7 linked regions of the Tribolium castaneum genome follow. The protein of the gene in region 5 binds, or shares a complex with, the protein of the main gene of each other region. Links are inferred from orthologs where the notes say so. Each region holds a gene or a part of one and is shown on either strand. Other genes may lie near its edges. The genes, in order: MED20, MED8, MED18, MED16, CycC, MED21 and mediator of RNA polymerase II transcription subunit 25.

Region 1 (2,522 bases), on a different chromosome or scaffold from region 5:
TTCACCAATTTTTGGTAACGGTATATCTAGGACTTTATCTCCTAATGTACTCATTGTTACTAAAAATAAATTTTTGAAATAAATAAATAAATTTTGGGAATTTTTTGCGAAACCTCACCAATTTCAAAATCCTTCCCAGGATGAATTTTTTTGAGCAGTGAAATCACATGTCGCGTTTGAATGAGAGCCAGCTGAAAATGTCAAATGAAAAAGAGCCCACAATAACAAACACGTGATAAATACCTCGCTTTTCCGGGATCCAACCCGGATTTTCTCAATCTCACTCATTTTTGTGCTTTTTCTCTCAAGTAAGGAACAATTACCGCAAACGCATGATTATGTTTTCATGCTGTTTTATTGAAAAAAAACTGCTTCATCACCACTATCACATTCTGCCCTACGTAAGTGCTGATAGAGGTGAACAATCAACTTTCCAAATTATGTAATTAGACAAAGACGCATAATAGTCTAATGTGTGGGAGTAAAAGAGAAAGACAATATAACCTCAAAATTGTTTTTATTTAATTTTTTCTTTACAAAAACTTTGAACCTTACAATAAATTAGCTTAAAATTAGGGCCTTAAACCGGGGGCCTTCCTAAATATCGTAAACTGCTCCAAATACTGATGAATTGTATCAATGGGGGTATACAACTCCTGCATCCTGTTTTGCAAATACGGTGGGGGCGTTGCAGGCACCGACGACCCCAAAAACCCCTGCAGAAACTCCCGCATCAACTCCCAACACATCGCAGGCACCACACATGGTCGATACTCTACTTCAACCAGAACCCCCCGAAAGTTCTGACTTACAGTCACTGTTCCCAATTTTACACAAAAATCACCGATTTCGTATCGCGGCCCCTTCGACTCGGCCTTAGTCTGTTTTTTTGATGAGTAAAAACCGGACATTTTCATCATCAGGAGATCAAAAAGGCCGTCAGTTGCGAGAGGAATGGTCTTTTGGCCTGTCTCAAGGATCGAAAAAACAGTCGCCGGCTGCTCGGAATTGTGAAGGACGTGGACTGTACGTTGGTGTCCCAAAGCGGCACAAGAAGTAAACGTTTCGCAATCGACGAGAAACTGGCCCTGTTGCAGGGCCCCCAGGGCGGAAATTCGCTTCGAGAGGAGCTCAATGGTGGAGGGCCCCGTGCGGTTCTCTGTGGGGAACTGTTGTAACACTGTGACCCCCATTTTAAGTGGATTTTTGGGGGCTAAATTGAGGTTATTATAGCTTAATGATCGTCAGTGGTGCCAACTTAGCTAGGTGTCAAAAATGCTACAAGTTCAAAGTCGTTGACCCCTTATCTCTTGAATCATAATGTAAACATATGTTTTATATTTACCGTATTTTTGGATTTGATTTATAACAATAAATTTTTTTGAAAATTGCGTTTTTATTTTGGTAAACCTTAGCTAACGAAAATTCCTAGTGTTCTTACGCGCCAAACTGCAACTTTCAAAGTGGTGGAATAAAATAGCGATTATTAAATAAAACTTTTATTATAAAAGTGTCATTTTTACAAATAAATAATTCAAGGCGAGGCTTTCTCACAACTTGACAGTGGCAACGTTCCTAATTCTTCGTCAGCAAATTCTTCAGCGTGTCTAAAAAAAAAACAAGATCAATGGATGAAAAAAAATTAGTCTAAATTAGCAACTTACTTTTGCTTAATTTTATAAATGTAAAATAGAACCATAAAATTTATCAAAAATAAAGCCGCTATGAGTAAGGCCGGTGCTAAAACATCTGAAAAAAAATTAACAGCAACCTAAACAAATCATAAAATGCGTTACCTGAAACCATTTCGATATTTTTCGATTTTCCGATGTCTTGAACAGTTAGCAGAGGCTTTTGTTGAAGTTTTTCTGAAAAAATGAGTAAATTTAGCCTTGTTCACGAGTCGCCGCTGACTTAATGAATGTGGTCTGAAGCGCAATTCCGCAATTTGATAACAACAAAACTTTTCATAATGATTTTTTTTATAACAATACAATATAACCTCAACTGCTTTGTCTAATTGGACGCTAAAAATACAATTACATGAAAAAAAACTCTAGAAACACTCACTATTTGCCTCGTTAGTGCAAACTCCTACAATTCTTTTTATCGCGAAAAACGCCTCTAGGTAATCCACGTGGTTCCTACACGATTTTCCGTTGACAACTGAGCATCGCGAGAGAGATAAAGCAATACGGGAACGTTTTGTTGAACGGAAACACCAACAAGTCAATAGGCAGAGGCGTAGACTCCATAATATAATTAGATTTTGTTTGGGAGTTTCATCGAATGCGAAATTGTTTTGTAGGGCTTACGTTCAGTTTATCTTTGTTTTATCCAAACTAGCAAACTCGCACAAAGCACGAAATGTGGAGTTTCGGCGTTATCTTTGTTCGCACACAACACTTTATCTCATTAAAAATTAAAAAGCGGGGTCGGAGGTCAATTCCATTTAGCGTCTAATCAAACTTACTAGTACAGTTGGGCAGAGGGAGGTCGACGTCCCACTTGGCCCCCTCGCA
Region 2 (4,098 bases), on a different chromosome or scaffold from region 5:
AATTGTTGGTCAGTATTTTAAGAAACAAAAGTATATTAACAAATTAGAGAGTATAAAGAGTTGAATTCTTTTATTGTACCACTTTGTATATAGGGAACAAAAACTTAGGAAAATTCTCTTGCCATGTAAGGAAAATATATGACCATAGAATAGTTGCAATTTATGCACAAGAGTATTTTATTTGTTGTTTGTTATATTTTTTTAAATGCGTATTATACGTAAACAGGGTCCAGTCACCCGCGTTACGTTGTAGAAAATATTTTTTTAAGTTGTTAATTTTTGTTTGACTGGGTCCCAAGTATTCTAAATGTTATATGTTTTATATTTTATATAATGCGTAGCATGTGCTAACATACATCGTGAAAATGTTCAAGTTCCGCTGTACTTATTGGAAAAGCCACCCGTTCCGACCAGCCACACTTCAACCATTTGTTGATAGTATAGTTTCAAAGTCTATAAAATTAATGCTTTTTATAATCTACTCATTACGCTACAAAGTGTTAATCTTTGTTTCCACTGTTATATTTAGTTATTTTTGTAAGATTATATCTTAATAAATAAATATATCTCCGTACACATTAAAAACTATTTCACTAGCGTCCATATGGATGTATTTGGGTGGCACTTTTGATGTTAGTCTTAATAGCAGAGGGCGCCTTATTCATCGTCATGGTTTGCGTGCTGGGGGGCATCTGTCCTTGCCCGGGAGTGCCCCCTGGGCGCCCCTGCGGAGGCACCATCATCCCTCCCGACGTGGGATTGGGCTGACCGTTAGGGTTCGCCCCCATCTTGAGTCCCTTCCCCATTCCAACAGCCGCCACAAGCGAGTGAGTATCAGCCACACTGGAATTCTGCTGCGTACTTCCCCTGGCGGAAGACTCAACTTCCCACTCCTCCCTCGCTTTACTCACCAGTTCCCAAACGTGGGACACAACCTTTTGATACGCAGCAATTTGTTTCTGAAAGTTTGCGTTGAAACATACTCTACCAAAAATTTTAACATACCTGTGCGTTCTCATACGATAAAGTTGACGCCTTGTGTTCCAATTGCATCATTTTATTCTCCGCCAACGGTTCTAGTTTGGTTCGAAGATAATCTGGGACTAAATCATGGGCGAAGGTTGTGACTCTGTGTTCGGTCATTTGGGCCAATTGTTCGTCCCGCTCGGGGGACAACATGAGGGGCAGTACTGTGAGATTTCTGAGGGTGGGGCATTTGTCGTGGCTTAAAACCTTCGAAAGGGAGGTGAGTTGGCCGGACATAAGGGCGTAATTGTCCAAAAATGTGGGCCAGTTGAGGGTCTCATATTCATTCTCCACCTTGTAAATCATTGAAGCTATCGATGATTTTAGGTCGTTGACACGCTGGATTATGGAATCGAGAGACGATTCGAGTTGTTTTTCTTCCCGTTGTTGCATTTTGCTGTATTTTTGGCGCTGTTTACAAAAACATAACCTTAACCACGATGACGGTATGTCGGCTGTGGCATTGCCGTCTCGAACTCCAGGCCTGCATGTTGACATTGTGACGTCACAGTAAGAGTCTAAATGATCATAACCTAACTTTCTGAATTTTTGCAAAAAATTAATTTTAACTATGTTGCGTCCAACGTTTTATGCAAGAAACGACGGAAAAGTGTATCTAAAGAATCCTGATACTGCAAATGTGGTCAACGAACGGTCAACTATAATTTTTATAGTGACATACGTTGTGATTTAAAGTACCTTATCCGTTTGTTATTACCCGAAAAACATATATTAAAGTTTATATTTTTTGATAGTTTAAACCATCTAGCCGTACTTAAACGTCTAAAGTTACGTCTATTAATACAAAAATTCTCCTTATGGGCCTAAATTTTGAATAACCGCGACTTAAAGACGACCGTTTTATCCAAGTTTTAACACAGGTTCTTATGGAATGCAACATGTTATTATTCGCTAAATATGTTTTAAATTAGTCGTAAAAGTGTGATCGAAAGTATAAGAATATGACGAAGAATTTTACGTCATCTCTAGTCACTTCGTGATATTTTATTATAAAATCATCCCGAAAATATTTCACATAAACACGACTGTTCTTGGTAACAGTCCAATTAGTTCGGGGTATCTTTCTTGACCATAATGATCGCAGGGATTCTTGTTTGGGAAAGGAAAACATAGGTACATAAGGACCATTCATGTTAGACACACAATTGGGAACACAACACTTATTCGGCATTTTCTAAAATTAGGAATGCAATAGGATTAAGTATGTTAGGTTTAGAGACTGAAATATGCCTTATCTGCTTATTTATTACCAAATTAAACGATTAAAAACAATAAAACCAAATTTATAAACAAAAATAATGCAAAACTATCCTAACCTATAATTGTCAAAATCACGTCACACAAGACTATAAACACACAAAATTCATTCCCTACAACGCAACCACAAAACAACAAATTCGTAAACAACAACAAATTACTTAATAACACTCTCAAAAACACCAAAAAGTACAATATATTCAAACGATGCGAACAAATGTCACGACTCTTACGATGACGTCACAATAAACAAAAGCTAGTAACCTGACGGCCTGGAGTTCGAGACGGCAATGGCTGTGGCCCTAGAATAACACTTTAATAGAAGCGGAACATAATGGTTGGCAATGAATTCCTAGCTGAAGCCATCTAGCCGCATCATCACGTACTAAAAATGGCGCGAATTTAAAATAATTCCGATTACTTTATATTTTTTTAATTTTTGCTCACGTCAAAATGATGCCAATACCTTATCAAATACAATTATTATGAAAATTTCTTAATTGTATTTGAAAAGGTGGATGCACAGACAGCACAGATGGAAGAATTTTACCCAACATGACACGATCACATTTAATGTTAAAGATATTTATTAAATCCATTAAGTTTACGAAACTAATAGTCGTCACCGAATCGATGATAAAGACATACTTGCAATCAGCCAAACTGGCACCGGTCTGGCACCTTATGTTTGCAACTTCTGTCTATGGGAGTCTCCTCGCAGTGTGACTCACTTGCGGTTCGATCTCAAAAAACTCACTTTTGGGAAAAACGCACCTATCTACGTAAACCTTCTGGAGCTCATTACTACGTTATATTTTTGGAGATCATGTTGTTCCTAACCGATAGTAGGCAATAGTCTAACCTAAAGACGACATTTTGATCCACTATAATAATAAAAATTAACGTGATATTATAAAAAATAAACTCAAATTAAAATCAACAAAAATGGCGATTCAAGTAAAAAGTGAGTGAAAATAAAAATTATTTTTCTAATGTTATTTTCAATTTGCACAAGAAAATTCATAGTGTACGGTCATCAGGGCACTCAGAGGAATCGTTTGGTGTAAGTTTCAGCTTGAAAATCCAGAAGTAGTTAAAGTAAAAAATTACCAAGTTATACTTTATGTTTTATTACGTGGTAAAGTTAACAACACACGTTAACATACCCTTTATAAACGTTTAAACACCCTTTTTCATGAAAAGGTTGACACGAGAAGTGCATTTTTCAATAAATCTCACTGAAATTTATGTCGTTGACTCAAGGTAGATTTGTCTGTCCTTAAACATGTTCAATAATAATTAATAGCGCTCTAGAAGAGCAGGAAAGCACACAAAAAACATTAAAGTTAAAATTTAACACTTCAGAAGAGATCATAATACACCCTAACCCTACTTTCTGAACTTTTGTCCTTATCTGGCAATAGCACATAATAAAGGTAGAGATTTCGACCCTAAATATCCTATCATAACGCTCTGAAAGGGCAGAGATGGAGACAAAATTCATAAAAGTGTAAATTTTGTCATTTTCGGGTGACAACATAACCCTACTTTTGGAACCTACCGAATTTTCAACAAAACGAAACAAACAAACAATGTGGTTATACGCATTGCGATACCACTAATTTTCGCACCAAACTTTCACATTGCCAGTTTCTGTTTAAATAAAAACATGCATTTTTATTTTTCCATTGACTGCATGCGAAACTTTTATAATTTTAGACGTTTATAGGCAAATACATTTGTCATAATTAATTTTTTTACATCAATGCTGTTCTATTTTAAATAATTCTGTGT
Region 3 (2,734 bases), about 860 kb from region 5:
GTTAAAATACCAGGTGTCATCACTTTGGTAGACACCCCCTAACTTTTTTATTTAAAAAAGTATAAAAAGACATATTCAGGGTTTTAGGGAAAGGTTTAGCAATATTTTTTTAAGGATTTTTCAAGGCTGTGTAGATTGCTGTTAGTTTTTAAGATATCAGTCAATGTTTGGGAAAGTAGTTAAAATACCAGGTGTCATCACTTTGGTAGACACCCCCTAACTTTTTTATTTAAAAAAGTATAAAAAGACATATTCAGGGTTTTAGGGAATGGTTAAGCAATATTTTATTAAGGATTTTTCAAGGCTGTGTAGATTGCTGTTAGTTTTTAAGATATCAGTCAAAGTTTGGGAAAGTAGTTAAAATACCAGGTGTCATCACTTTAGTAGACACCCCCTAACTTTTTTATTTAAAAAAGTATAAAAAGACATATTCAGGGTTTTAGGGAAAGGTTTGGCAATATTTTTTAAGGATTTTTCAAGGCTATATAGATTGTTGTTAGTTAAATCTTAATTGTATTTTATTTATAAATAAATTACGGTAAATTTCCAAGTCTTTTATAATCGATTTTTTCAAGCTGAACCAACGGCCTCAACTGCTCGGCAAAAATTCTCATATCCTCCGCAATAGCATCTTGTCCACTCGGGGCCAAAACGGACAATTCAACTAAATAACTCTGGGAAATCGCTTCTACGCCTTCGCCCGGCTTACTCGTCATGCTCCCCATTTTGAAAATCTTCGACACTGTGATTTTCATCCTGCCTTTGCGGAACATGTACCCCCGGGCGATGTACTCAAAATCCACTCTGCATCCAAGCTCGGTCAAAAATTCAACAATTGTGGAACTGCAAGCCATGTCAATACTCGATCTGACGACTGTTGGCCGGTTCTTGTCGCCTAGCTCCTGTTGCCCCACGTAGCGCAGCTGCCAGGCGGCGTCGGGCACGTCGAGGGCTCGCCGGACTCGCAGTGGGAGCACCATGGGGGCCCCTGGGTTGGTGGCCCGGAGGGTGAAACACAATTCGTGGTCGTGGAACGACTCAGGGCCGCTGTCTACGTTGTCGCACAGCCCGCGCAAGCGGTGGAGGAGCACCTCGACGTATTGGTCCAAGACTGAGCCCTGGAGGAGGTACTCCTGGTTGGGGATTATGTTGCATTTGAGGGCGGCGTTTAGGGAGTCGATGGCCGTGCCAGGAGTCCCCATTTCTGTAACAGTGACAATCACTTTGCGGAAAACGGCCTATTTCCGACAATTACTGAAGATTATCACAGTTTTTGGAGGTTATGTTTTGATTGAAGTGTAAGTTGTCAGTGTATGTCGGCGGAGACAGCCCCAAAAATGGTGGTGGCACCATGAAAATTACAGTCGACCAGACAAGGGCTGCGCGCATGGAGCTAGCACCGTTTCCCCACCATTCTCGTTTTCTACAGCCAAGTTCACACCAGGAAAATTATCAAAATAATCGTAATTCATTATAAAAACATCAATAAGTTGTTACGCTGACTTGCATAACACATTTGTAGAACATCTCCTGACCATTGTAATGAGTTTCTATTACAAATTAAAACTTAACTGTATTTAATTTCTGCATTTTTTATTCTCATATTCAAGCAATGCAAACTGATTTTTTTTCACCCCCTTTATATGCAATTTTCTTTATTTTTGCAGGAGATTAAGCTCTTCGATAGGGCCTTTGACTGTTAAAAATCATGTTCGGACAAACACCCCTTGGGACCTTAATGAATTTTTAAAGATTCTTTAAAATTTTCCGATTTCGCAAATTTTATCTTTAAAAATTCATTACAGTATTCAGAATGGCCTCCGAAGGGCGAATCAGTTATTACAGGAAATGAGGAAAATAGTAAAAATAACGAATAAGAATTTTGCAAAATGCTTTTATAGAAAAGTTGTTGTACTTTATGTTTTATTACGTGGTAAACTTAACACACCTTAACATGCCCTTTATAAACGATTAAACGCCCTTTTTCATCAAAATGTTTAAGACGTAAAGTTCATTTTTGCCCTTTATACATTTCAATAAATCATACTGAAGTTTATGTCGTTGACTCAAAGGTAAATTTATCTGTCCATAACATATTCAATAGTAATTAATAACGCTCTAAAAGAGCAGAAACAGACACAAAATCCATAAAAATGAAAGATTTGACATTTCCAAATGATAACATAACCCTACTTTTAAAACCGAATTTTCTGGAGACTTAAATTTAACACAATTTGTGGCGATACCAGTAATTTTCACACCAAAATTTCACATCAACGGCTCGTTTGCACAAATAAAAGGAGGAAAATAGTGAAAATAATAAATAAGAGTTCTGCAAAATGCTTTTATAGAAAAGTTGTTGTATTTTATGTTTTATTATATGGCAAACTTAACACACCTATACATGCCTTTTATAAACGATTAAACGTCCTTTTTCATCAAAATGTTTAACACGAAAAGTTCATTCTTGCCCTATATACATTTCAATAAATCACACTGAAGTTTATGTCGTTGACTCAAAGGTAGATTTATCTGCCTATAACATATTGAATAATAGTTATAAACGCTCTAAAAGAGCAGAAACGGACACTAAAATCCAAAAAATGAATGATTTGACATTTCCAAATGATAACATAACCCTACTTTTAAAACCGAATTTTCTGGAGACTTAAATTTAACACAATTTGTGGCGATACCACTAATTTTCACACCAAAATTTCACATCACCGGCTCG
Region 4 (4,238 bases), on a different chromosome or scaffold from region 5:
GGCAGAATACCATATCCAGGTGAGATATTTCAATTGGTCGGTAAATTGTTGATTGTCGATTGTTTAGGTATGACCAATGCCGAGGTGTTGCATCAAGTCGAGCACGGGTATCGCATGCCGTCGCCCCCCGGCTGTCCCGCGCCGCTCTACGATATCATGTTAGAATGTTGGAACCGTGACCCAATGAAAAGGCCGACGTTTGAGACGTTACAGTGGAAATTAGAAGACTTTTTCACCATGGAAGGTTCAGAATACAAAGAAGCGTCGGCTTACTGAGGTCACGCCCACCCCCCTGCTGACTGGCTGCGTAATTCGATTGACTTACACTACCATTAGTGGGGAGGTGGATATCTATTTCTATGTAACAATAGATAGATATGCCCGTACTCTTATTTCTTGTCGTGACTATGCTTGTGTTTGAAATAATGGTTTGTGAAGTTTTATCAGATTTTTACACGTCGACTAGGTATCACAAACCACTATTTTGCGATTTTAATTTTAAACTTTGCTTCCTTTTATACATCGTGAATGGGGCTCTTCGCTCTGGCTCATCTATTTTTAAATATTCTTTATATAATAATTTATTTTAAGATTTTATGTAATTTTATAGTGAAATTCGACAACGTTAAATTTTCCCCGATTGAAACTTTTAAACGCACAATTCGTGTCTACCAATAAGAATGAAACGATGTGTAATTGTTGCTTGTGCATATTACCTAATTCCCCTAAGTACTTACGCTTTTGCATTTATTTTTTAAAAACGAATAACATTCCTCTCAAGTGACACTATCCGATATCTCTAGCGTTATTTCCCAGATGCCCTACAGTTATTAAAAATCGGTACTAATTTATGAAAGGCGTTGTTTCTTGGTTGTTTTAGTCACAACTTATGTCTTCATTATTTTAAGATTGTTATTAAAGGCATTGTTTATACAGTTATAGGCCATTATGAAAATATTTTTTGTATTATACACTTAGAATATACAATAAAAGTCCTTTACAATTTTCGTTGCAATTTATTCAAACCACCTCCACGAAATAGAGTTTGCTAAATTCTTATAGCACCCACTGGGGCATGACTACTTTAAAAAAAGGTTACTAAATCAGGGGTTTTTAAAGCAGTCGCATGTGGACTTGCTTTACTATTGCAAGGTTTGAAAAGGAACTGAAATAAGACATCCAGTATTTAAACACCAATATCCAATTAAACTCCGCCCAGGTGGGTACTTCTCGTATTTGGATACTTTTATGTTGTCCCTCGTAACGTTGGCAATGTTTCGCGCGCAACCAGTATTGCATCTCCCGAGAATGTACACTCATGAGAATTCTCTACTAATCGCTAACCTTTTATTTTTTTTTCTATCCATCAAACCTAAACTCAGAGCTTACACAATTCGAACAACACTTCGTAATTTACTTTTGTGAGCAATTTTATGAGAATAGAAGATTTCTCGTCAGCGTACATTCACGCGTATGCCCGACAGCTGTCAGGTGTCAAAAATCTGCCAATTCAGTAAAGTTTTAAAAAGATGCTTCATTAGATAAATACCGAAAAATGGACCATATTTTCACCATTAATAAGAAAATAAATAAATCGGTGGACACCAGCAAGCATCTATCATTCACCAAGTACCGCCCAAACGAAAGTTAACCATTTACCAACCGTTTGAATTCCAGACTCGAGAAGTCAACCTTATGCTCGATTTCAAGCTCCAACGTTGTTGCTTTCAGCACGGAATGCAATATCGAAGAAGCGGGTTCCCTCTTTTGGAACTCTAATGTCTACGTCTGCGATTTAAACAGTCCCTGGCAGGTCCACAAGTACGTCCCCAAAAACACTTTCCTGTATTAAACCTCCATTTCCAGAATATTATCAAACTCTTCCCCCATTTCGGTGCTCCAGTGGGACTTTACGGGCGACCTTCTGCTAGTCGCGGACGAAAACGGCTCGATAAAAATTTACAAAGCTAAAGACCACATCCTAAATGACTGGACCCTTGTCCTCCAGACTGTCCTAGAAGGGGAGCACATTCTGTCAGCGGCGTTTTTCCACTCGGGCAAGAAAATCTGCCTCAACTCTGAGAAAAAAGACAGCGCTTTGTACACGGAAAAGTTTCACCATGTCAAGTTTGCCTGCTCTGTTAAACAGTTTGGGGGGCGCCCTGCCAGTGGGGCCCTGCTACTCACAACGACGGGAATGTTGTGCTCGATTTTACTCCCCCAAAGCACGAGCCAGGTCGCAATGGTCATGGCGACAGAAAGCCTGGCCCCTACTAGGATTTTTATCAAAGCTGCTGATATTTGCTATGGCAAAAGTAGGTTTTTTACAAAATCATTTAAACACCAAATAATGTTATTGTGTAGACGGTCATTTTTTGCTCGCTGTGAGTAACGGAGACTTATCAATGCCTATTCAGTGTTATAAAGTCTCTGTCAGGAAAGCTGAAGATAAGTGTGTCATCACAAGCCAGTCTTTACTCAGTTTTTTTCTATTTGAGGCGCCTAAGGAAGCATTAAGTAACAAACTGAGTCATTTAAGCCGTTGTTTAACGTTTGTTTTAGTGGAACAAGTTTCCAAAGAAAAAAATTGCCACATAAGTCATATCAAATGGATAATGAGAGAGGACGCAGATTCGGTGGTTGTTTCAGCCACTAGTGATAAAATAAGCTGTTTGCAAGTGTGGGAATTGAGAGAGAAGGCTTTGCCGGTTCACAAATCACTAGGAAAATCTGAAACTCCCCAGTTTTTTAACACTGTCGTACGTCTATTATCTCATCATGTGATAATCGATACTTACTTATTTTTTAGTTGTGGCAATACCAGTGCCACTTCCAGTATAACAGCAAGGTCACTTCACTAGCTACAAGTAAACTAAGTCTATTAAATAATGTTTCAAGTGGTTATGTCGTGGCCACATTTGCCGACAATTCCATCCATTGCCTCTACAGAGACACTCTAAAACATTTGGTCAGCACCACTTTGACCATTTGTCCGCGTTATTTTGACGAACCTCTCGCCAGATACCCCAAAACTAGCATCAAAATCTCAAACATTGACATGTCCTGGCTCGGCAATATTTTACTCGTGATTGATTCAGACGATAGTCTGCATATGTTTAAGTTACCGCCCCAAATCGACAGCTCAACGCCTCTAAGTGTACCTTACTGTACCACGATTTTAGAGTATTGCATGATGAGCGGTTTTGATTGGTTAGACTTGTTGCTAGTGTTAAGACCTGGAATGTTGGACGCGATATGTGACCGACTCACCGAAAGTTTTAATCGCCAGCCCTCGGCAGTGCAACAGTTTTTCTACGTGCAGTATTTGTGCATGAAAATATCGCTATGCAGGTAGGTTCCTAGTTTACCGACATTGGGTGACAAAATTTTATTATTTAATTATTGTTTTAAATAGAAAGCTTATGATTTTACTGTATTTTTGTATTATGCGAGATATTTTAAGGAGTTTTTACCAGTTTTTTTATAGCAAAGTTAACAGTTTTTGTAATATTTATATTTTTTTGATTTGCACCTTCTTTTTCAAAAATCGAAGTTCCTGTAGAGTATTTCAAAGAAAATGATTAGATTTTTTTCAAATTTTAAATTCCGTAAAGAGTGACAAACTCTAAATTTGAAAGATTACGTTTGAAGAAATTCAACTACTTAAAACACAATTTTGCCAAATTGATTCTTTCTTTACTAAATGAAGAAAAAAACTACCAGTAATTTTGCATCGAGCCAACTATAACCACCATAATATTTTTCAAGTTATTTATAAAGCTTAGGGTTACATTAAAAAAAATGAGATGTTCCCAAACGTAACTTTAAAATGTTTTTTTTAACTTTTTTGAAAACACCAATAAGGGAATAAAGCTTTCTCTTCTAAATGCCCAAATACGATTTCGAAATATTATAAATGACAATGTTGTCGATTTTTGAAAGGGAAGGTGCAAATCTAAACAGTTTTAAAAAAATATAAATACATATCTAGAAAACAAAAGGAAACATAAACACAAAATATTTGAGAAAAATTTGAGTAGCCAAAAAAAAGCAATAAAGAATATAGCTTTTCACTAAAAAAAATGTTTCCAATTTCTGTATAAGCGGAAGTGCCACCACCTTGAAAATATTTTGATACCTGACTAAACAAATTTTTTGATGAATATTGTTATTGGAACCGGAAACACTTTTAATGTGTGCTTTAGGCGCAACACCTCGAATTTTGCGAGTAAAATTCA
Region 5 (3,990 bases):
TAAGTCTTCCACAGCTCGAATAAATTAATAACGTATCTTGCAATTTCTTGAATTCGTTCTATGTCCACGTTCAGTTCGGCAAACCAAGCCTTGTGGTCCTTTTGCAAGATGACACAAGCTATTTGAAGACAGCCAATTGCAATTTGATATGGTGGATAAAGCAAACACACATCAGTCCTAAGAGAATCGTTCACTATCCTCCAGGCGAGAGTCAAAAGTTGATCTTCTTGACCCATGTCTTGCACTAGTTGTAAGAGAGGTCTATAAGGCTGATAGACGATCAAGCAACAGTCGAGGTTTTCTAACAAGTAGAATTCACACTCTAGGATGTGGTTCGTACGATATGGAAATTCCTGACTATAGGCGTAACTAAACTTATTTTTAACTGAAAATAGATTGTTTAAAAAAGCTAGTTTTAACTTAGCCTCCTTCGATCTTAGACGGCTTTGAAATTATTAACGACAGAATATAATATTAATTTTTGGATTTTTAAACTGTAATTAATTAAATAACCGCGAGAGGTCGCCCTGTTGAGTGGTATGTTCTGAATACGGAGGACTATAAGTTAGGAGACCAAAAATAGTACGGCAGAGTAAAACTGAGGGCGCTACGAGCGTTATACCGTCTTGTCGCCAAATCGTTTTAAATTAATTTAAAACCAACCAATTCATTAATAACGTGGAAAAAATGTAGAAATGTTTTGCACTCTTAACAGACTAAGAAAGACTGACGACTACAAGTTTCATGACAAACATGAGAATTTTTTTATTTAATTTGTGCTTTAAGAAGACGCTGCGAATACAATTAAAGATACAGAAAAATGTTAGGAAGAAATTTGTAGAGAATTAAACTGACCTGCTAAACAAAAACCTTGTAACTACTTTTACGTATTTTTAAGTTATTTCGTGATTCTTAAATTTTCTTTAAATCGCACCTTTATGTTATATGCTTTTGAACTTTAATGAAAAAAATTAAATTGATACGCAATTTTATAGACATCTTTTTAGAGCGCTATTTTTCAATTTAAAACAATTGAAATAAAAAAATTGCTGAAGTTACTAAGCAAAAAAGTCGTAACTACAAAAAAACATTTATTAGAGAAAATTGAACACTTGAAAGCTAGATATTAGCATATAAATTAACGAAGAACAACCAATGCTTATAAATACAGTGGCGCTAATAAGTATTAATACAACTCATTTTTTTATTAAATGTGTTCTCTTTCAATTATTATTAACTTTTACTTATTTTTTGGTAAAAGTTGAGGCGGCAACGAGCTATCTTTAGATAAAGACAAGATTTACAAAGCTGACCAATTTTTTTAGTGCGATATTTTTTTTACATAATAAATTAAATTAAATTAATAAATAATTAAAAATATTAAATTTGACTTTTGGGTTCACCAATGAGACTAGCTAGTCTTAATATTCCCAGAACAAATGGAAATTTTTTTTAAACAAATAATTCGATGAATAAATTTACTTTCAGGCATATACCAAATTTCAATTAATTTTGAACATTTAAAATTTTAATTCAGTATTGTCAACAGACAGTATTTCTGGATCAGTCAATTAATAATAAACAATACTTCATTAAATAGACATTTTTAATTTTAGTTTTGGAGCAATTTATCTCAAAAAATTAAACGATTGTCCGGTAATATATTTTTAATCTTTTCAAGAGTTTCTGTTTATAAAATTTGATCCCTAAGTTCAAAAAAATTCGACGTGACTTATTTATCCAATTTTTGTCCCTCGAATAAAAATAGTATATACTTATTTATATCTGTAACCGTATTCGCAGCGTTTTGAAAATTATGGGACAGAGTGCAAATTGGTAAAAGTTTGAAATTTTTTTAAATATAGTTTATGATAAAATTTTTGCATTATGTTTATGTCCTACTATTGAGAATTTAATGCTCTATTTGCCTGTATTTTTTTTGTTTGCTGTGTGTTAACCGTTATACAAATACAACCATTTTTTCAAATTTATTGCTCTGAAAACCTTGGTAATGGAACAACAGCGTTCTCTGGCGGCATTAACGGAAATATCAAGGACAGGAACGTTTTATTTGTACGTCGTACCATATCCTAACTTTTAGATATCCGTAGTTCCGAAGTTGGATGCTTTTCGGTAATTTTTTTAACAAAAACTTGGGAAAATTATATCTGGTAACTTTTAGACCAGCCATCTAAGACCATCACGGAGACTGTGACTTAACTTACTGACTGTCTGACACGTTGTAATTAACCTAGAATTGGAAATCACCCCAAATTCTTCTACTTTGGAGGCTAGAAAAATGCAAGTGGGGGCTAACAATAACGGATCGATGCACTTAAGTGAGTTTTTTGCATAAAACCTCTTAAAATAAACCGTTGCGGTTGCTATAACTTGCTGGCGTAGCTTCAACTGTTCGCCTAGTGTTTGAATGACTGAAAAAATAAATTAAGAGAGTTGATAATAACCTAATATAAATAATACCGCTAGCAAAAAATATAAATATTTTTTGGTACTCCTCCTCCGTGAGGAGTTGGAGATCATGTTGGCGCTCCCTAATTAAATCTTGTTTGTCCAAAAGCCACTGCTGGCTGGAAAAAATTCATTTGTGATTTTGGGGCCGTTTTCATATCGTAACTTACTGGTGTGAGCTTTGCCAAAAATTTCCAGCCATTGCACAAACTAATCTGAGTTGAATTAAATCACAGGCAATAACTTTAAGCTTCCAGTCAATTATTAATTAACACAAAAGCAAAAGAAACCGGTCAAAGAAACTCAGTCAAGTGACAAGTGTCAACCAATGGAACTACTGTGGTGTTTTTTAACCTACGACCTCTTTTATTAAAACTGTAGACCTTAGAATACTAAAATTAAGTACAAACGAACGCTAATTTTTCAGTTTTGTTATTTATTTTATTTATTGTTTGTTTCGTTCGAACCATATGATACGAAAATGTTTGGTTGATTTGAACTACTTCAAATGTCAAAGCGCCACTTGTGACAACAAACAAATTATTGTTTGTGTGTTTTTTTGTGTTGGGAATGGTGTAGGGGCTCGGGCCCCCAGTTTTCTTTTTTGGATTCTTATTTATTCAAAAATGTGTGCTTGTGTACAAGTTGTGTAAATAATCAGTGAGTTTGTGCGACATAACCTCTAAATGCTTCCAAAAATGAATCCAGTGTACGATTACATTCAGCGAAACCGGGTTTTGGCAAAAATAGAAAAAGCTCATGGAACTAAAGCAACGAATTTAGCGCTAGATGATTACGACCTTGTCAAATTTCCCCCCTTGTTGGTGAGCTGTGTCCACCTCTCATATCTAAACATTGGTCATAATCAAATCACTGAACTGCCCAAGTGTCTCGGACAGCTCAAGAATTTGCAAAATTTGTCTCTGGAGTACAATAACTTCGATCGTTTCCCTGAAGTACTCAAGGATTTGCCTCAGTTGATTACTCTAAACATAAGCCATAATCCGATTAAAGACTTGACTAGAGATATTGGAAATTTAACTTCGTTAGAAACATTATGGTGTAACCGTTGCTATCTGGAGTCTTTACCTGAAGAAATTGGTAATTTAACAAAGTTGGAAACCTTGGGGGCTCGGCATAACCTGTTAACAAAGTTACCAGATGGAATCTGTAATTTAGTGCAACTGAGGTAAGTATGACACTTACCCAAAAATTAAAGAATTTTAGTTTTCGAAAAATCGACAAATTATTTTTACTTTATTCCACTCTCTTGTGAAACAAGGTCGAATTTTATCAACGAAAAAGTAGTACGAGGCGAAGCCGAGTGTGTTAATGCTTTTGGTTGGATAAAATCGTATTTTATCCACTGTCTACTTTATGGTAAAACGGAATTTTGTCGCCTAGAAAAATATAGTTCGCAACTATTGTTGTTTTTAAAGTATTTTTTATTGTTAAATTTCTTAATGTTTATAATTGTTAATCAAAATAACTCAGTAATTCGAAATAATCGAAAAAAATGGA
Region 6 (2,793 bases), on a different chromosome or scaffold from region 5:
AGTTTGCGACAACATATTTCCATTTTCAACGGTGTAGGTACAATGTGTTTTTAAATGATTCTTGGTGTACGTGTAATAGAAAATTTTATTCTCCATAAATTTCTTCGTAGGATTTTTCTTGTGTTCTTGATTTGTCCATTTGTTTTTAAATTAATTTAAAACGACTTGGCGCCGAGACAGTATAATGCTCAAAGCGCCCTCATTTTTACATTTTGGGTACGATTTTGTATCTCGTTTCGTTTCCTAAGCGACAGTCTTCCATAACCCGAAAAAATGATTTTTACAGCCGAATTGCTACGCCAAAGTCATCACAATCGAGTCGCAAAAGAAAATAGTGATCTACTCGAAACAGAGCATAGGTGTGAACGAGGAAATTACTTACGATTACAAATTCCCGATCGAGGACGAGAAAATCCCGTGTCTGTGTGGCGCGGCCACGTGTCGAGGAACACTTAATTAAAGGGAAACAAGACAGACTTTAAACCGAGTTAGTTACTATATAAAATTTAAATTATCTTTTTTATTTGTATATATGTTTCTGTAAATAGTACATGGTTATTTGTGTTTGTTTTTCATCACAACCGCAAATAAAATTCATTAACAGCTCACTTAACTATCCTTACTCCCCGCTTTTGTCAAATGCTGCATGTCCAGCTGTGATTGGGCGATGTCGCTCAACGCCGCCTGGATTTGCTCCAAGAGATCCTGACCTTTACGAACTATAGCCTCGAGACGCTCAGCAGACTCTTGATTGTCTGATTCCAAAATTCGCAAGCTTTGCAACTGAAACAGTGTTTAGTCCGCGGTCGGACCAAGTCATTGTAGATAGGTACCTGTAATTCGGTTGAATTTTCCTCGCTCGGGAGCGATTCAATCAAAGTATCTATGTCTTTGGCACAGCGCGCAATCAACGTTGTGAATAACTGGACGTAGTCTTCTTGGTTCTGTTGCTGGGGGGTTTGGGAGCCACTCCTGTCGAAGTTTGGGAATTTGCTAGGAGGGGCGAACTGTTGCAAAATCCCAATGCTGTTGCAGAAATGCTCGGCTTGCTGCGACAACACGAATGCAATTAGTGGTACAGTCTTAGGGGGAATTACCTGATTTATGCAATCCTGGAGCTGGGTCAAACGATCGGCCATTGAGGTTATGTTACCCAATCACCGACAAGTGATAAGACCCGAAATCACATAAAAACCAACACTGATGATAATTTGTTATCTCCCGAGGTTTAATATGCGACAAAATATATTAATTCGTACGAAATAACTAGAATAATACTAGAAGGTGAATGACATCTTGCAAAAACAAACACACATGATTGCCAACCCAAATCTGGTTGGGTAAAGTCTGCGTAAATTAATCCCACCGGGCCGAAGTTACATTTTAGTTATCACGCCTGATTTCAAATATAGTAGAACGGTTTTATTTACAAATTAATTGGTTTTATTTAATCAAATAATAACGCAAAACCGGGGAGTAATAGCCAACCCACGAGTTGAAAGTCCCCAAGTCAGTTTTTGACAGATGTCAAATTATTATTATTATTAATGAAAAATAGCAATTACAGGCCTGTTCAGCGCTTTAGAAATGTCCGGGGCCAAGCCGTGGGAGCGACCATGGTCCATGGACGAAATAATCCAAAATTCGGACAATTGGAATTTAGCCGGAGATGTGGCCCTTTTGAACACTCTCAAGGCTTTTGCAGACGTATTTCGCATTTTTGGCCCACATTGAACCGTTTCAGCGTTCAATTTTTAGAATCTCCTGACTCGAACAACCGAAATCAACAATAACTTGCAAAATTTGACAAGCTCCCTGTCTGAGACAAGTCTCCAGTTGAATATAGCCCAAAACGAGTTTCAAAGTTTGCGAAACAGCCAGTTTATTGAAAGTCGGGTTTATGAGGACGATGAGACTTTGGAGGAGCCGGTTGAGGCGAAAGCCGAGGAGAAAGAGGTTGATAAGACTGAGGAAATCAGGTTGGCGGCTTTGAAGGGTTTGGAGGTCTTGGAGACGTATTTTGAGAAGGTTGAGGTGTCGGTCAGTGACAGTGAAGACGACGATATCGACTTGCCCAAGTAATTTTTTTCTAAATAATTTACAAAAACTAGTTTGTCTTTTCCAGTTTTGTCCTCAGACCCAAAGACTTGTACCTGGAGCGCCCCCTTCCGTACGTAATCGGCTCAGAAGAGTGGCAAAAGACGTGGCACGTGGGCCTGGAGGACTCGTCCAGCGATAGCGAAACTGAGAAAGTCTCAGATAATTTCAGTGAAAGCGACTCAGAATCAGAGTTGCCAATTATTCCCGACAGAACACAGGTACTTTACACATGTTTTTCCACTGGTTGAGTTGCACTTGATCCATTCATTATCATAATTTTATTGGTCTATTAACCGGCCAACCGAATTTTTTGTTTAGTCGCGATCCAGTCGCCATGGGCAATATCTGGTTCTTTTTCCAGATCAAGGGCACCTCTGATACCAGTTCTGAGGACTTGCGAACTGAACCGAAAAATTTCGTCAATTCGAGTGATAGTGAAAACTCAGTTCCGGTGCAACCAACTACCAACTTTGCCGAAGAGTTGGCGGCGAAATTGGGGAACGTGATTGATCAAGAGTACGTCAATCGACGGCCAATCCAGAAAACGCCACAATACGGTAATTGTTTTTGGAAGCGGACCGCAGACTAAACGCTAATTCCAGATAACCTATTTTTCGATGAACCGCCGCCTTTGGACGAACCTAAGGGGTTGTTTTCAGGGGGTAAGGGCTTGTTTGATGACGATGATGAAGC
Region 7 (4,294 bases), on a different chromosome or scaffold from region 5:
ATCGACGTCTGAACATTTGGTTGCTGATTTTGCTGATTCATAATATTAATTTTCATTTGGGGTTGTTGCTGTTGCGAATTAAGCGGCGAATTATTCCCCACTAAAACACGCAATTTACCTCAAACACCTCAAAAACTTCTCTTTTACTTTGTCCAAATTGATTAACCCCAGTCCCCGGCATAGAATTCGGGGGTTGTGTCAGCTGTGCAATCAGTGCGCTACTTTGGGTGGTATTAACCTGTTGGTTGGGCGGCAGATACGACCTGGGCTGCGTTGGGGGCAACATAGCTGGCCATCTGGGCCGGTTCGCTTGGTGGTAGCCCGGCGGTGCGGGCAATTGCGGGATGTTCATGGGGTTGTTGCCCATCATGGCCCCTCGGGCGTTCACCATACCTACCATGCCTGGTGTAACATTTTGTGAGTGTTGGGGGGTTATACCTTGAGCGCTGGGCGGCCGATAGACGGGCGATGGGCCCACTCCTGAGGGAACCCCGGAGTTGGCGGACGAGGATGACGAGATGGGGCTGTCATTGCTGGCTAAGGGGCTGGGGAGAGAGGTTATAGGAATGGTAGTGTTAGAAATTTGGGTTTGGGCGGAAGTGGCGGTACCGGCAGGGGGGCTCAGGGGGCGCTCCTTCAGGCTGAAGCCGCGCAGGAGGACCAAGTGACGGGGGTCCTTGGCGTAGTTTTTCGTCTGGGAAGCGCTCAAATCACCGCCGGCTTTCTCGAACAGTTTATACAACGAGGGGATTTTGCGCGGCGAGATAATCGACAAATTGATATTTTTCTGAAAGTTAATTATGCAAATTTGGTGGAAGACACTTGGTTAATTACTTCTTGCAAAATAGCTGCTAGTTGCTCAGCTGTCTTCCCTGTGTAAGCATGAGTTTCAAAAACCCCTAGAGAATAAGGGGGCGAGTTACACACTAGAATACAATGCTTTTGAATGTTGCCGTTATTGTCACGTTTTTGCTGCAATTCGTCAAAACATTGAAGGGTTGTGGCTAAACCTTCAGCAATGTTTGCATGAGACTCGCCTTTACCTCCTATAAGTCTGAAATAATTTTTACATTAAGTGATCCTTTTCCTAGTTAGAACTTACTCAAGTTTGTCTATGGCATTTAATACCTTACTGGGGCTTACAAAGGGCCCAATTGTGTCGCTACTGGGGTGCGGTAAGCAATCAGCAGCCTGATACACCACAATTCCGTAATAAGAATTAATCCCTTCTGATAGGAAGTTGCTCTCATCAATACTCCCCTGACTAAAATATCTAAAAGTCCCTCAGTTACAAGAACATATTCTCCAATTAAAAACTACTACTACTACTTTTTCGTATCAGGGTGTAATTTTTATCATAACAAAGCAAGGTTACACTGATTTCTCAGTACCTCAAACCTTGTTCAACTATCCGTTCAGAATTCATCACGAGAAAAAACAGAGAAATAAAAGATTGGAAATGTAGATGTAGATACAACAAAAATGATGATATTTGGAAAGAAAAGTAGTATGGGAATTCGGAAAAGAGGATGAATGGCAATGGGAAGGAAAAATATAGAACAAGTGAAAGACTTGAAGTATCTGAATCAGATATGTACTGTATTATTTTAGTCAATCTTCACTATTTCAGTTAGAAGAGAGTAATAAGTAGCAAGATGTCAGACACAGCCCATATAAAAGAAGCAGCAAAAAAAAACAAATGGGGTTTTAGGAAATGTTTGAAGCTTGGGAGAACGTAAATTTAGTGAAAATTTCAAGAGAAAAATAATAGCTTAGGGAAAAGCACTGTAATGTAGGGACTATTTTGAGCAGAAGTGTGGGGATGGAAGAAATACGAGATCGAACAGGCTAAATAAACAAATGCCAGAGTACATAGTAAAAAAAGGAAGAGAAAAAAATTAAGAGTAGATTAAGGAAAGAGAGCGGTGGGATTTGAAGAGAAATTAAGAATTCTGCGTGAATGCAACAGTGTTGAACAGAAATCAAAAAAGCAAATGAAAATGTTAGATGGAAAGGACGAAAAGACTCCTATGAGAAGAAGGAATAAGTGTGTATAGAAATTAAAAGAATAAGAGAAAGGGGACGAACAATGGAAGAGGAACTGAAATTGAGAGATTTGGACATAGATAGGCAGGAAAGAATAACATGGAAAAAAGAATCGAGGTGTAATACGTAAAATATGCCGTGCTTATTGACGGATGAACTCCTCTCATACTTAAGGAAGATGTAAAGTAAAGATAAGAAAATCATAGCCAGATTTAGACGTAGAAATGAAAGCGAGAACGAATATTGGAGAGAAGATTGGGAAACAGTGTGCAGATTAAGCGGAGAGTGTCACAGTTTGTGGAGGTAAGAGTGTGCAAGTTTGATACGAAAAAAAGTTTTAAACGAAAATGGTAAGGGAAAAGAATGGATGAAAAAAGTGACGGGTGCAAAAGAAAATTGGGAAAGGTAAAGAATATCTAGAATATCAAATAACTTCAAGTAGGACTGTAAAGCCAAATAGGCAATAAAAACAATTTAGCAGTAGTAGAGAAAAACATGTAATACATCAGAAGTTACAAAAAAAAGTAAACTTACTCTAACGAAGGGATGATATAATTGGTTTTTAGGTCATTTATATAAGCACCATTCACTGCAGTTCCCTCGATAACAAAAACGATATCGGCGTGTAAGCCATGATCAGCTGGACACACAACCATTGTTTAGTCAAAATATTAAACAATTTTAATGAAACAATTTAATACAAGCACCAAACCCCGCCATATTGAAAATACCTGTCAAATTTTTAGGGATGTTACGTCAAGTTAATGGCAACACTTTCATTCAGATGAAATTTTATTTTAGCCAAATTATGCAAAAATGTTGTCTGGAAAACTAATCAATTGAATAGAATTATTAGTAGATTGCATTTAACCAAAACTACCTGGCTATTTTCGCCAGAAACTAATAAAATTTAATCCCAGACTGGGATTATATTTTTTCCCCTAGTGTCAGGCGTGTTGACGTCTGCCGTGAACAGCTGATTATTTGTCATCAAACACCGCAAACAGTGAATTAATGCGTCTTTACTTTATCTGAAATAGTGTAACACCATGGCATCGGCGCTAACGGACAAAGTCAGAGAAAGGCGAAGTCGGGTAGGTGCCAATGATTTAAAAAATCGTGCTTTAATGCCGAAATTTAGGTCCTCCTTGGTCCCCTCCCGGAGGATTTTCTCCGTATCAGCACCTCGGTTCAGCAACAACAAGAGGCAGCGGATCGCCAAACAGCCATAGCACTGCACCACCAGCTAAGCGGTGGCCAACAGTACACAAATGTCGTTGGGAGGCTCAGTATCACTGTTGCTCAAGCTAAGCTCGCAAAAAATTACGGAATGACCAGAATGGACCCCTACGCTCGGATTCGGGTCGGGCATTGCGTTTACGAGACGCATACGGACCCGAACGGCGGCAAAAACCCGCGATGGAACAAAGTTATTCACTGGTAAACACATCTCAAAAACTAGCAAGTCCCTACTTTTCCATTTCCAGTTTGTTGCCTCAAGGTATTAATACCATAACGTTAGAAATTTTCGACGAACGCTCATTTACGATGGACGAACTCATCGCCTGGACGCAGTTCCAGATCCCCCAACAGGTACTTGCAGGGGAAACCCACGAGGATTGGTACCCATTAAATGGGAAACAGGGTGAAGGTGTCGAAGGAATGATTAATCTCGTGTTAAGTTATCTAGTGTTCCCTTCATATAAATATCAACCACCGGCGCCTGTTATGGTGGTGCCCAACGTAACAGGGGGCAATGTCACACCCTTGAAGGTGTTTACAGCGCCTCCTACTGAAGCCGCGCCTGCTTTGAGTGAATCCGAGCTCAAACAAATCGAGGAAATGTTTCCAAATATCGATAAAGAGGTGATTAAGACCGTGTTTGAGGCCAACAGGGGCAATAAAGACGGTACCATTAATTCGTTACTTCAAATGGCTGAATAAATCAATCAGTAATCTCATTTACGCCATAATTAAACTTTAGTTGCGGATTCTAGTCGTAGCTTTTTAAAATTCCATTTTTTGTCATTTTTTAACTCATCAAGTGCCAAAATTTAGCCATGCTTTTTGGTTTGCTTATCGTGCAATTTTAATTTTTAACGATTTCTACTTGAACATTTCCATTGTTAATTCCAACTACGGGGGGCTAAAAGTTTTGGGAAGGGGTTGAGTTAAATTAATACGAAACCGACTTTATTTATTTGGTATAGAAAATTGAGTGATTCAGTCCTCCGTAATTCCAACTCAT

Evidence for each region.
Region 1: CycC (region 5) and MED20 share a complex: the UniProt entries of both Homo sapiens proteins name them as parts of the mediator complex. The link is inferred for Tribolium castaneum from reciprocal best matches to the Homo sapiens genes CCNC and MED20.
Region 2: CycC (region 5) and MED8 share a complex: the UniProt entries of both Homo sapiens proteins name them as parts of the mediator complex. The link is inferred for Tribolium castaneum from reciprocal best matches to the Homo sapiens genes CCNC and MED8.
Region 3: CycC (region 5) and MED18 share a complex: the UniProt entries of both Homo sapiens proteins name them as parts of the mediator complex. The link is inferred for Tribolium castaneum from reciprocal best matches to the Homo sapiens genes CCNC and MED18.
Region 4: CycC (region 5) and MED16 share a complex: the UniProt entries of both Homo sapiens proteins name them as parts of the mediator complex. The link is inferred for Tribolium castaneum from reciprocal best matches to the Homo sapiens genes CCNC and MED16.
Region 6: CycC (region 5) and MED21 share a complex: the UniProt entries of both Homo sapiens proteins name them as parts of the mediator complex. The link is inferred for Tribolium castaneum from reciprocal best matches to the Homo sapiens genes CCNC and MED21.
Region 7: CycC (region 5) and mediator of RNA polymerase II transcription subunit 25 share a complex: the UniProt entries of both Homo sapiens proteins name them as parts of the mediator complex. The link is inferred for Tribolium castaneum from reciprocal best matches to the Homo sapiens genes CCNC and MED25.

What each region holds. Positions count from the first base shown.
Region 1 is NC_087398.1:429,539-432,060, reverse strand, and holds MED20 (mediator of RNA polymerase II transcription subunit 20), read right to left. Parts: upstream 1,330-2,522; 5' UTR 1,194-1,329; coding exon 573-1,193; 3' UTR 501-572; downstream 1-500. Other genes in the region: Hmbs (porphobilinogen deaminase), read right to left, coding at 1-59, 119-191, 244-288; uncharacterized protein LOC103313212, read right to left, coding at 1,535-1,607, 1,665-1,749, 1,797-1,868, 2,474-2,522. UniProt on the Homo sapiens protein: Component of the Mediator complex, a coactivator involved in the regulated transcription of nearly all RNA polymerase II-dependent genes.
Region 2 is NC_087396.1:15,801,447-15,805,544, forward strand, and holds MED8 (mediator of RNA polymerase II transcription subunit 8), read right to left. Parts: upstream 2,609-4,098; 5' UTR 1,525-2,608; coding exon 1,006-1,524; intron 960-1,005; coding exon 594-959; 3' UTR 501-593; downstream 1-500. UniProt on the Homo sapiens protein: Component of the Mediator complex, a coactivator involved in the regulated transcription of nearly all RNA polymerase II-dependent genes.
Region 3 is NC_087394.1:9,286,397-9,289,130, reverse strand, and holds MED18 (mediator of RNA polymerase II transcription subunit 18), read right to left. Parts: upstream 1,414-2,734; 5' UTR 1,256-1,413; intron 1,205-1,255; 5' UTR 1,203-1,204; coding exon 534-1,202; 3' UTR 501-533; downstream 1-500. UniProt on the Homo sapiens protein: Component of the Mediator complex, a coactivator involved in the regulated transcription of nearly all RNA polymerase II-dependent genes.
Region 4 is NC_087396.1:16,567,347-16,571,584, reverse strand, and holds the start of MED16 (mediator of RNA polymerase II transcription subunit 16), read left to right. Parts: upstream 1-1,438; 5' UTR 1,439-1,555; coding exon 1,556-1,629; intron 1,630-1,677; coding exon 1,678-1,821; intron 1,822-1,866; coding exon 1,867-2,315; intron 2,316-2,364; coding exon 2,365-2,517; intron 2,518-2,562; coding exon 2,563-2,759; intron 2,760-2,809; coding exon 2,810-3,351; intron 3,352-4,238. Other genes in the region: tyrosine-protein kinase Src42A, read left to right, coding at 1-19, 68-276. UniProt on the Homo sapiens protein: Component of the Mediator complex, a coactivator involved in the regulated transcription of nearly all RNA polymerase II-dependent genes.
Region 5 is NC_087394.1:8,425,934-8,429,923, forward strand, and holds the start of CycC (cyclin-C), read right to left. Parts: upstream 2,801-3,990; 5' UTR 2,672-2,800; coding exon 2,640-2,671; intron 2,589-2,639; coding exon 2,482-2,588; intron 2,433-2,481; coding exon 2,226-2,432; intron 386-2,225; coding exon 1-385. Other genes in the region: leucine-rich repeat-containing protein 1, read left to right, coding at 3,156-3,658. UniProt on the Homo sapiens protein: Component of the Mediator complex, a coactivator involved in regulated gene transcription of nearly all RNA polymerase II-dependent genes.
Region 6 is NC_087401.1:8,393,380-8,396,172, reverse strand, and holds MED21 (mediator of RNA polymerase II transcription subunit 21), read right to left. Parts: upstream 1,328-2,793; 5' UTR 1,140-1,327; coding exon 1,098-1,139; intron 1,050-1,097; coding exon 834-1,049; intron 784-833; coding exon 610-783; 3' UTR 501-609; downstream 1-500. Other genes in the region: Set1 (histone-lysine N-methyltransferase SETD1B), read left to right, coding at 287-460; FAM21 (WASH complex subunit 2A), read left to right, coding at 1,588-1,707, 1,759-2,078, 2,126-2,318, 2,462-2,657, 2,703-2,793. UniProt on the Homo sapiens protein: Component of the Mediator complex, a coactivator involved in the regulated transcription of nearly all RNA polymerase II-dependent genes.
Region 7 is NC_087402.1:9,089,832-9,094,125, reverse strand, and holds the start of mediator of RNA polymerase II transcription subunit 25, read right to left. Parts: upstream 2,801-4,294; 5' UTR 2,703-2,800; coding exon 2,581-2,702; intron 1,274-2,580; coding exon 1,103-1,273; intron 1,055-1,102; coding exon 835-1,054; intron 788-834; coding exon 439-787; intron 394-438; coding exon 148-393; intron 101-147; coding exon 1-100. Other genes in the region: toll-interacting protein, read left to right, coding at 3,096-3,140, 3,188-3,486, 3,534-3,990. UniProt on the Homo sapiens protein: Component of the Mediator complex, a coactivator involved in the regulated transcription of nearly all RNA polymerase II-dependent genes.